2 linked regions of the Caenorhabditis elegans genome follow. The protein of the gene in region 1 interacts with the protein of each later gene in a pairwise test. Each region holds a gene or a part of one and is shown on either strand. Other genes may lie near its edges.

Region 1 (4,868 bases):
TAGTTACAAAATTTCATCCATCTATTGAATTAACTTTCAAAATTTCCAAAAAAAAAAAACGCAATGAAAGCCTGCAAAACGGTTAACACAGTCCTTGAAAAAGTACTAACAATAAAAAAAATCTGGGAAAAGGTAAAATTATAATTTTTGGCCGTATCTAATCGTAGTTTGTTCTGTAAAACAAAACAACTTTTAAAATTATATATCACATTAAAAAAAAATTATAAATATAGGTGAACATCGTATGAAGATGATTCTGTGACTAAACACTTTTAGACGGTTTTGTATATTTCGCAACTAAAAAAAGTATAAATGTCATCTCAATCATTTTGTAGAAAATAATTTATGGGTAGTAAGCTGCAAATGATTAAAGTTTCCGAGAACTGCATATTTCCAAAGTAAGGGCATGAGCAAGTTCATTTTCAAATTTGACGCAAAATAATGGATCATGACAATTTTTTTTGGAACTTCATTAAAATGACATAAGGCTTGCTGTTTCTTCTGAACGTCATGGAAATATTTAAAGGGAACCCATTGGTACACAGTGTGAAACCAAAATAGTGCCCGGCTTCGAAAAACAGTTACAAAAATTATATAATATATAGCTAAAACTGCCTTCAAATGCAAGTCTTTTAACATTGAATTATAATAGAAAATTTACATTTGCCAAACTTTCTGAACTCGGTAAAGTTTTGAAGTTTGTTATTAAGTGTATCCAGTATTTTTTGGAAAAAGTCAAACCAGAAATATATTCAACAACCATGTTTTATTAATAGAAATTACTGTGTTCATAACATTTATGAATTTCTGAAAATTTTCCCTATTCCTTATTGTTGTGATCATTGTGATGTTTGCGCTCTTCAGTCTCCTTTTCATGATCATCGAGTGATTTTGGAGTGAATGCATATGGCAGAAGCTCGTATGTTGTAGTCTCGATAATTTGATCACTAGTCGAAGACCCGAGAATGACCTGAACAAGAAAAATGACATTTGAAACCGAAGACGTGGGTGGTCCAGAAAACAATTCATCTGGAAATAAACGAAACGAATAGTGGAAATGGAGTAGACTCTTGCAGGTTGAAGGGAAAACACTCATTATGACTTTTTCATTCGTATTTTTCCTCCATTTTTTACTTTGTTTTCAGAGAATATGCAAGGCTTTCTTCAAATATAATTGCTCACATAATTTTATAATAGCGAGCATAAATTTGAAAACTATGAAAAAAAGAATCAGCATAGTTTAGTTATGCATATTAAATTTTGTTATGCATATTAAATTTTGAAATATTTCTAACCAACCTTGTAGTCTCCAAATTCGATAAGGACCTGTCGGCATACTCCACATGGCGAGCAGGGAGCCTCTAGTTCGGTTGCTAAAAACATTAAAAATTTAGTTCAAATTTAGTTACGACGTTTAGCTGTTTTAAAGTTCAATTGTGTGATATTTAAAGAGTTCTGCCTCATATTGTGAATGTATCTTCCTACTGTGAAACAATTACAATTTTTCACTAAATGTATTTTTGATCAGCCTGGTATACAAAACTCTCTCTCTATTTTTTTTAAATCGCATTCTATTGTCGAGACTGGAACTTTGAAATGACTAAGTTTAAAAAAATTGATCGTTTCATGATTGACACTGTATTCGGAGAAGTTTCTTGTTCTTGAACTAAAAAATTTTCACGTGAAACCCTTCAAAAATTATATTTTGCTATTAATTTTAGTTTTTAATTTTTGAGTTAGTACATTCATATGAATTTAATTTTTTACAAACCCAGCAAACCATCAATTTTAGTTTTCATTATGTCTTTGATTTTTTTTTTATATAAAAATGAAGTCAGAACATTTACAAACAACCTTCATTTCGATTTGAAGTGCGTTTCAAATTTTCATCATGATGTATTATTTGTCTCAATTTATGCAACTATCGGGATTTCGGAAATATGAGTCTGTCTGTCTTCAAAATATGGAATTCCACCCACACTACATTTAAGAATGTCAACTTCAAATTGTAATTGAACATTTAAACTATTTTAAAATCTATTATTTTCGCAATAATATAACATAATTTTGATATTTGAGGTTTACTCAAAATATGATATACTGTTTTGGGATGTCATTTTCAAAATGAAAAAAGAAATAAGATATTTTTATTATTAGTGTCAGACAGATATTCTCAAAACAGGAGCTTTTTAAAACCCGTTTAAAATTGTTCATTACTCTTCAAAGTTCGTAAGATCATTTATGACATGAAGATGAGTAGGTGTACTATCAAGTTTCATTTTTAACAGAATTTGTAAATTCTGAGTTTCAATTTTCAACTGCGTATCTTATATAATGTAGTATGAATACTTTAAAAACGTTAGAACCTTTTTTTCAACTCACCAACAACAATGTACTTAAATTTTCTGTGTCCCTTGGTCAAGGCGGTAACTATTGCGCTTCTCTCTGCACAAATCGTTGCTCCGTATGACGCATTCTCATGGTTAGCTGAAAATACTCGAATGATTGTGAATAGTTAGTAATCGGATGTAAATGTTGCACTTTCAAGTTCTCACATTTACTAATGAATCAGACAAGGACGAAAATCATAGTCTCCACCCACCTCCTATGATAATTTCTCCGTCGTCACACACCAGCGCAGCTCCAACTTTGAAGTTGCTATACTTGCTAAAAATGTTTTTTGTAAAACATTTACCGTGCTTTTTTGAAATACCAGTAAGCATTCTCCATTGCTCCAATTGCTTTATCAACAAGTTGCTGCTCAAACTCGGTAAGGTTTGCCTTTGTTGTAGTCATTCTGTAAATTTTTTAAAACTTAAAACTATTGTTGAAAATTTTGGCTAAACTAAGAAAAAGAAGCTTGCAAACAGTAGATTCAATTCGCACGTGGTTAGTTAGGATGTGAAAACTAAATAAAGCAAATGAATCGGATAGTCAATATTTGCTCCAATTTTTCGTTGCATGGAGAACTTTGCTTTCTAACCGTCTTCGAAATTTGTACAAACTTCAACTTATGTTATAAAATATTCCATCCAAGGACAAATCAAAATAAGTATCAAGAACAGACGTAAAAATTAAAATTTTTAATTACATTTCCCCATTCACCATTCCTGTAAGAACTTTGCCTTTCTAAATGTACTGTGAATGGGGAAAGAGTGAGTATGTGGGGGTTTTTTATACATTTCCCGATGATTGATAACAGTGGGCCACGAGGAGTGATAATGATAAGAAATAAGGAATAGGATGGCAAACCCGCGTCGTTTTACGACTTGGTTCACTGACGTACGCCACATTCAGACGATTCTAGAAAATTCGGTCGAATTTATCATTTCATTTTCAACTGGTCCATTAAATTGAAAGTGATGTTCATGGGCTTTGTAGAAACTATGCATTGCCTACAAACTTCAGCCTTAACGATTACTATGAAAGTTTTGATAACGATTGGTGCCAATAGTGCTTCAATTTTAAACAATATATGGGATTATAAGAGTGATGAGAAATCTATTTGCAAAGATTCATTTGCAAGAGAATAGATAACAAAATGCGACAAACGAATTGCTCTTCGATATTCTATTTGAATAAAAATTAGCAATTTTTTTTAAACGGCCGTTTAAAAATAGTTTTTAATTTTTACAGTTGAAACTAAATTTTGAACTATGAATCATTTCAACAGTTTCTTCCATCACATTTACAAAAATTCCTCATTTGTGTCTCTAGAAATGCTAATAGCTGTTTCAAATGTTAATAAAAACTTCAAAGTATTTCAAATATGATTTCACTACTTTTAGAAAAATTCATATTTTGAACCACAAATGCTCTTCTTAAAACCAGCCGAAATAAATAAAACCTTTTAAGAAATGTATCTCAAGCATCTTTATAAGAACAAAGAATATGTGTATATAAGGGAGTATTTCTTGAAAGACAAAAGTGACAAAACAACTCATTGATGTGGCGGTTCTGGCATTTTTTGTTGACTGAAATTGTTTTTCTTCACAATTAATGTGATTCATACACTGTACACTGAGCGAAAAACTGACTTTATTTATGTTTACTTTATACTGCTTCACTAACTGAACTTCCTCAAAATATAACTACTGAACTTCCTCAAAAATATTTTTAAAAAATCCCTATATCTCGTTTATATTTGACGACTACTGCGGTGGAATAGCTCAGCATCTTATTTTGAACAATTGCCTAATTCAAAGTATGCCTATCAACTTTTTTTTTGTTTTTAAAACATATTTTAAAAGTCCAATAGCGATTCTCAGAGTATTCTCAGAATGATTTTGAACTCAAATGTCTTGTGAATTGTTTGCAGCAAAAATGTGCGGGTAACCGAAAATAGCTTGAAATCCACTCACGAGACTCTCTTTTTTTGAACTTTGCTATCATCACACAAGTGTGTGATCTTTTAAATCATGTAACAGACAATGCCTACATTTCAAGAGACCAAACTTTTTTGATCATTTGCCTCATTATATACAAGAAAAGTTGTCAGCTTTTGTCAATTCCAAAAGTAATGGTGGGTGGAAACATCAAGCAACTATATTATGTATTGCTACTTTGTCTGATCAGCTATAGAATACATCTGCAATACAAGAACTCTCTGTGGGTAAAGATCTAGGATAAAAATGACAATGAATTCCAAATACCGAAGTTTTTTTTGCTGACAACTCTTATCATATTCTTAAGTATATCAAATTCTGAAGACAAAATGAGCTTTTAAAATATTATTTTAGTACATTAAATTTTAGATTGAATTCTTGTGGTTTGTAAAAAAATAGAAGAAGTTCTTCGCAGGATTTAAAAACAACTTTTTAAAATTTATGATAATCGAATAATGGTTACTCAATCGAAACGCGAACTTA
Region 2 (4,669 bases), on another chromosome or scaffold:
TGTTCGTGCACCTAGAGTATTTCCAGTACTTTGGACTCTAATTTCACCATTTATTGATGAGAAAACAAGAAAGGTAAGGTGGAACCGTCTAGAATAAAACTAATAATTATTTTATATTCAGAAGTTTATGGTCAGTGGTGGAAGCGGAGGTGATTTGAAAGAAGAACTCCGAAAACATATTGAAGAAAAGTTCATTCCTGACTTTTTGGGTGGATCCTGCCTCACAACAAATTGTGGACTTGGTGGACACGTTCCAAAATCGATGTACCTTCCAGTTGAAGAGCAAGAAGGTGCCAGCTCATCTGAAGATCCTCTTCATTCCACCTACACAAGTACTGCAACCTGGAGAGGATACCCAGTGGAAGTTGTCATTCCTATTGAGACAGCTGGCTGCGTGCTTACATGGGATTTCGATGTGCTTAAGAATGATTGTGAATTCAGTCTGTACTTTTCGACTGAGGTAAATCTACATTATTTATCATTCTCAATAATTAAACGTTTAAATTTTTCTAGAAAATCGAGCAACCAGCAGTCCGTGATGGAGCTCAATCACCAACAACCATTCTCAATCCAGTTGAGATGGTATCTGCAGCAATCGGAGGAGCATCTCATCAACATCCCGATCTTCAGTGTGCTCCTGAACTTAAAATTGGAACACCACAGCTACGTCTAGAGGAAAAGGCAGTTGTATTCCAGGAAGGAGATTCTATGCAGGTACTCTTAAAAAATATAAAAAATACATTTAAAAATGGTATTTTTTAGGGTTCCCACTATTGCTCACGAGCTGGTACATATATCATGCAATGGAGAGTCCCTGAAACTGCAGCCGGCCACTCATCAACCTTTGACTTTGGTTCTCACAAATGTCGTCTCATCTACTATTACGAGATTTTAAACTCTGAAAATTTCCGGTAAATTCTTTACACATTTATTACAGTTGATATTATGGAGACTCGAAATTTTGCGATTTTTGCGCTTAGAATACGGTAGCCGGTCTCGACACGACAATTTTGTTAAATACAAACGGGCGCGCCTTTAAATAGTACTGTATCTTGAAACTTTCGTTTCGGCGGAATTTAAGCAAAGAAAGTTTGAAATTACAGTACTCTTTCAAAGCGCACATTCTTTTTTATTTAGCAAAACACTTTCGCGTCGAGACCGGGCACCATATTCTAGGCACACAAATTCGCAAAATTTTTGCGTCTACATAAAACGTAAACTATCCATTACAGTAGCCTTATTAATGCAATTTGTTTTCAGAGGATCCGTTGCCTCCCTCGAATCTTGCCGTTCATCATCGTTCAGTTCAATTGCTCCACCAACGCCACCAACTCCAGGAACTCCCCGCAATCCATAAACATCATTTGTAAAATTCAAAATTTTATCCGACCCTACTCGTATTCTTGTGATTCGTTTTCCTTTCTTCTGTACTACTTCCCATTCTGTCTCTTCTTTTCTTCTGCTTTCAAACATGCAAACACCAAATTCCTTATTATTTCCTTTTTCTTCGTCTACAGTCCCAAACACGGTTTTTCTCATTGTCTCCATTTCTATCATATTCCTTCATTTTACTACTTTTTTGATGTAATTTATTATTAATTTCGAACTTTTCCTCTCTTAGTTCACTCTTCATCCATCAAATGCCGAGCAATTGAGTATAAAGAAGTTTTGTACAAGCCAAAACGAGTGAGGCAAAGGCAAAAGAACAATGATTTTCACACCCCAACACAAACATAATCTACACTCCAATATTATATATTGGACAAATAGCGCCCACTCCAAGAATGGAAATTGAGCTGGTATTATTTGTTAGTCGCTTTCGGTAGAATACCTCTACCACTTTTTGAATTCGCGCGCACCTTTTAAGTGGTTAATTTCTCTCTAATGCCACCTCCACCATTAATATCGCTTGATGTTGAAGGTGTATATTTTAAGACAAGGATAGCTACTTTGAAATCTATAGAAGGAACTTATTTTACTAAATTATTCGAAACTAATTGGAGGGAGCAGCTTGATAGAGTAAGTCTAAAAAAAAAGTTGTAACTTACAAAGTTTAAAGCATTTGGTAAATTGCCAAACTTCTTAGAATTTTAGAGCATTGCTGCAGGTCCCTAACCTCCTAGAATGTCCAAACACAAATGATTATTGCCATGTTGTTGAATTTTGTGATTACTGGCGCAAAAATACGGTGCCGGGTCTCGACACGAAACTTTGCAGCTACCGTACTCACAGGAACTTCGCAATTTGCTACGATTATTCATGATTTTTAATACAAAATCTTCAAATTTTGTTCCGGAAAACGCCTACTATCAAACAAAAAAAATCGTGGAAAATTGTGAAACACTTTCGGTTACTGTAGCTGTAAAGTTTCGATAGTTTTGAGACCAGGTACGGTATCCAAGCCTCAAAAATCGCAAAAATTCAAGAATGGGTAATAAGCATATACTGTCAATAAAAATATCATAATGCTAAATTTTGCGCTAACAGTACGGTACTTTGTCTCGGAGCGGCAATTTTTTTTAATTGAAAAGGGTGTGCGTCTTCAAAAAGTACTGTAATTTTATTACATTACTCTTTAAAGGCGCACATTCGTTTCGTATTGTCGAGACCTTTACGCTTGTCGAGACCAGGTACCGTATTTTTAGAATTAAAAACCGCATAAACTGCTCTGAACACATCAGTTATAAAATATATTAACACTCCATTAAATAGAATAAAACCTCATTTGGTCAACTAACCTTCCCCAAGATTCCCAATGCCTTGTGTTAAATACTCTGCGTATATGTCTACGTCATCAAACATCTGCAGGCCCATTGAATCATTCAAATAATTTTCCACCACCACCCGTTGCCATACTTTTCACCCGACACCACAACCACTAACACCATTCCCTTGACCTCCTCCTGGTGTGACGTAGCGCACTGTTCAAAAGCAATGACCAACTGGTTGTTGGGTGCCTGTGACGTCAATTTGTGACGTAGGCAAGAATGGGGGTTACGGTAGATTGGGAAAATTTGAATGCTTATTTCAGGATGGTAGACTCTTCATCGACCGTGATTCTTCAGTATTTCCGGTTATTCTCAACTTTCTAAGAGATCATGAGAAATGTTCATTGCCAAAAGACGAATATCAGCTTATGCGAATCTTACGTGAAGCGGTGTAAGTTCGGAACAAATCAGAATATTGCAAAAAGTATAAATCATTATAGATTTTTCAAAATTGGACCACTTCGAAACATGATAGAACATAAGCTGCGAACATTTTGTACTTGCCCACCTGAACTTCCATCAACTCCAATACCGAACCAAATCTTGACCCAAAAAGAAAATGTTCCGATTGTCCCACGTAATCTTCTTCTTTCGAAACCACCTCCACCTCCACCACCACCACTTCCGTCATTGATGCAGCCGAAGGATACTGTACAAATTCCGATGAGAAAACCTCCAACTGGCAGAAATTCCAAAAAAATTAAAACGTCTGCAGATTCGATTAGTCTTCCAAGGAACTTTACGTGAGATTTGGATATCTTTTATCTATTAATTACTTACAAAAGTTTATTTTCAGACATATTGCACATGTTGGTTGGAATGGTGCATCGGTACTTTTTGATAAGAAAATGACTGATGATCCGACTGTGAGGAAAATCTGTGATGCTGCTGCAGAGGCAGTTGATCTTAGTGTGAGTAACTTTCTTGAAAATTAGTAGAATATCTATAGAATTATAAAATTAAAATTCATTTATCTATTTTCAGGCGGTATACAATGTTGTCAACAAAAATGCGGATGAGGAGAGCCATAGCGTGGAAGTGCTCATAACTGGAGGATTAATGCAGTCAAGAGATGGAACATCTCGTCACTAACCATTTGAATATATCTGTGTCAAAATAAATTATTTATGTCATGTCTTGCATGCCAACAGATACGCGTTTTTCGAATTTTCGAAAATTCGCAATCACAGCTGGTGGTTTTTTATTGTCTGAATTGACCGACAGCAAATTTTAGTGATCTCTGACAAAACATCAGAAAATAAAAAACTACGCTTTTTTGTCCGCAGTTTGAAAATTTAAGGAAAAACTGAATATAAATATTATTTCATCGAAACATGTTTTTTTCTTTAAAAAATTACCGTACTCTTTCAAAGGCGCACGCATAAAGTTTTTAAATACAATATTTCGTGTCGAGACCATTACAGTAACCCGCGGCAAAATTGTGTTTTACAGCTTTTATTTTCGGGGTTTCTTCTGATCTTATGCATTTTTATGTGGTTTTATTTTGAATTTTACGTTTTTTTTTAAATTTCAGAGCAATGAAATGCGATTATCGGACTTGTCCTAAAGGGCGGAGCCATGGTTAGAGGCGGTGCTTGTGGTGCCGAAGGGTATAAATAGATTTTTTCCTCACACAGAAAACTAAACACATTTTTTGTTTAAATGAAATTCTTCAGCTGTGAATTAATATTTCATTTCAAACTGCCGTAGTTAGAAATGCTCAGGACCGTGGATTTTCGGTTTGAATTTCTAGGCCAATTTTGTGTGTTTCGACATTAGCTCACTTCTATCAGAAAACCATATTGAAGCCAGAATTCGTAGGAAAATATAATGTATTCTGTTTCACTGTAATACTTGTTTTTTCTATGAGACCAAGATTTCAATAATTCGTTTTCCTTTTG

What was found.
Region 2: the proteins of cdd-1 (region 1) and T23G5.3 interact in a two-hybrid assay, tested with the Caenorhabditis elegans proteins (one large-scale study listed by BioGRID).

What each region holds. Positions count from the first base shown.
Region 1 is NC_003284.9:8,208,000-8,212,867, forward strand, and holds cdd-1 (Cytidine deaminase), read right to left. Parts: upstream 3,151-4,868; 5' UTR 2,797-3,150; coding exon 2,714-2,796; intron 2,668-2,713; coding exon 2,603-2,667; intron 2,488-2,602; coding exon 2,383-2,487; intron 1,374-2,382; coding exon 1,300-1,373; intron 971-1,299; coding exon 821-970; 3' UTR 749-820; downstream 1-748.
Region 2 is NC_003281.10:9,228,426-9,233,094, reverse strand, and holds T23G5.3 (uncharacterized protein), read left to right. Parts: upstream 1-1,821; 5' UTR 1,822-1,884; coding exon 1,885-2,019; intron 2,020-3,031; coding exon 3,032-3,159; intron 3,160-3,208; coding exon 3,209-3,511; intron 3,512-3,564; coding exon 3,565-3,679; intron 3,680-3,752; coding exon 3,753-3,860; 3' UTR 3,861-4,093; downstream 4,094-4,669. Other genes in the region: CRAL-TRIO domain-containing protein T23G5.2, read left to right, coding at 1-73, 122-460, 514-714, 763-911, 1,261-1,357.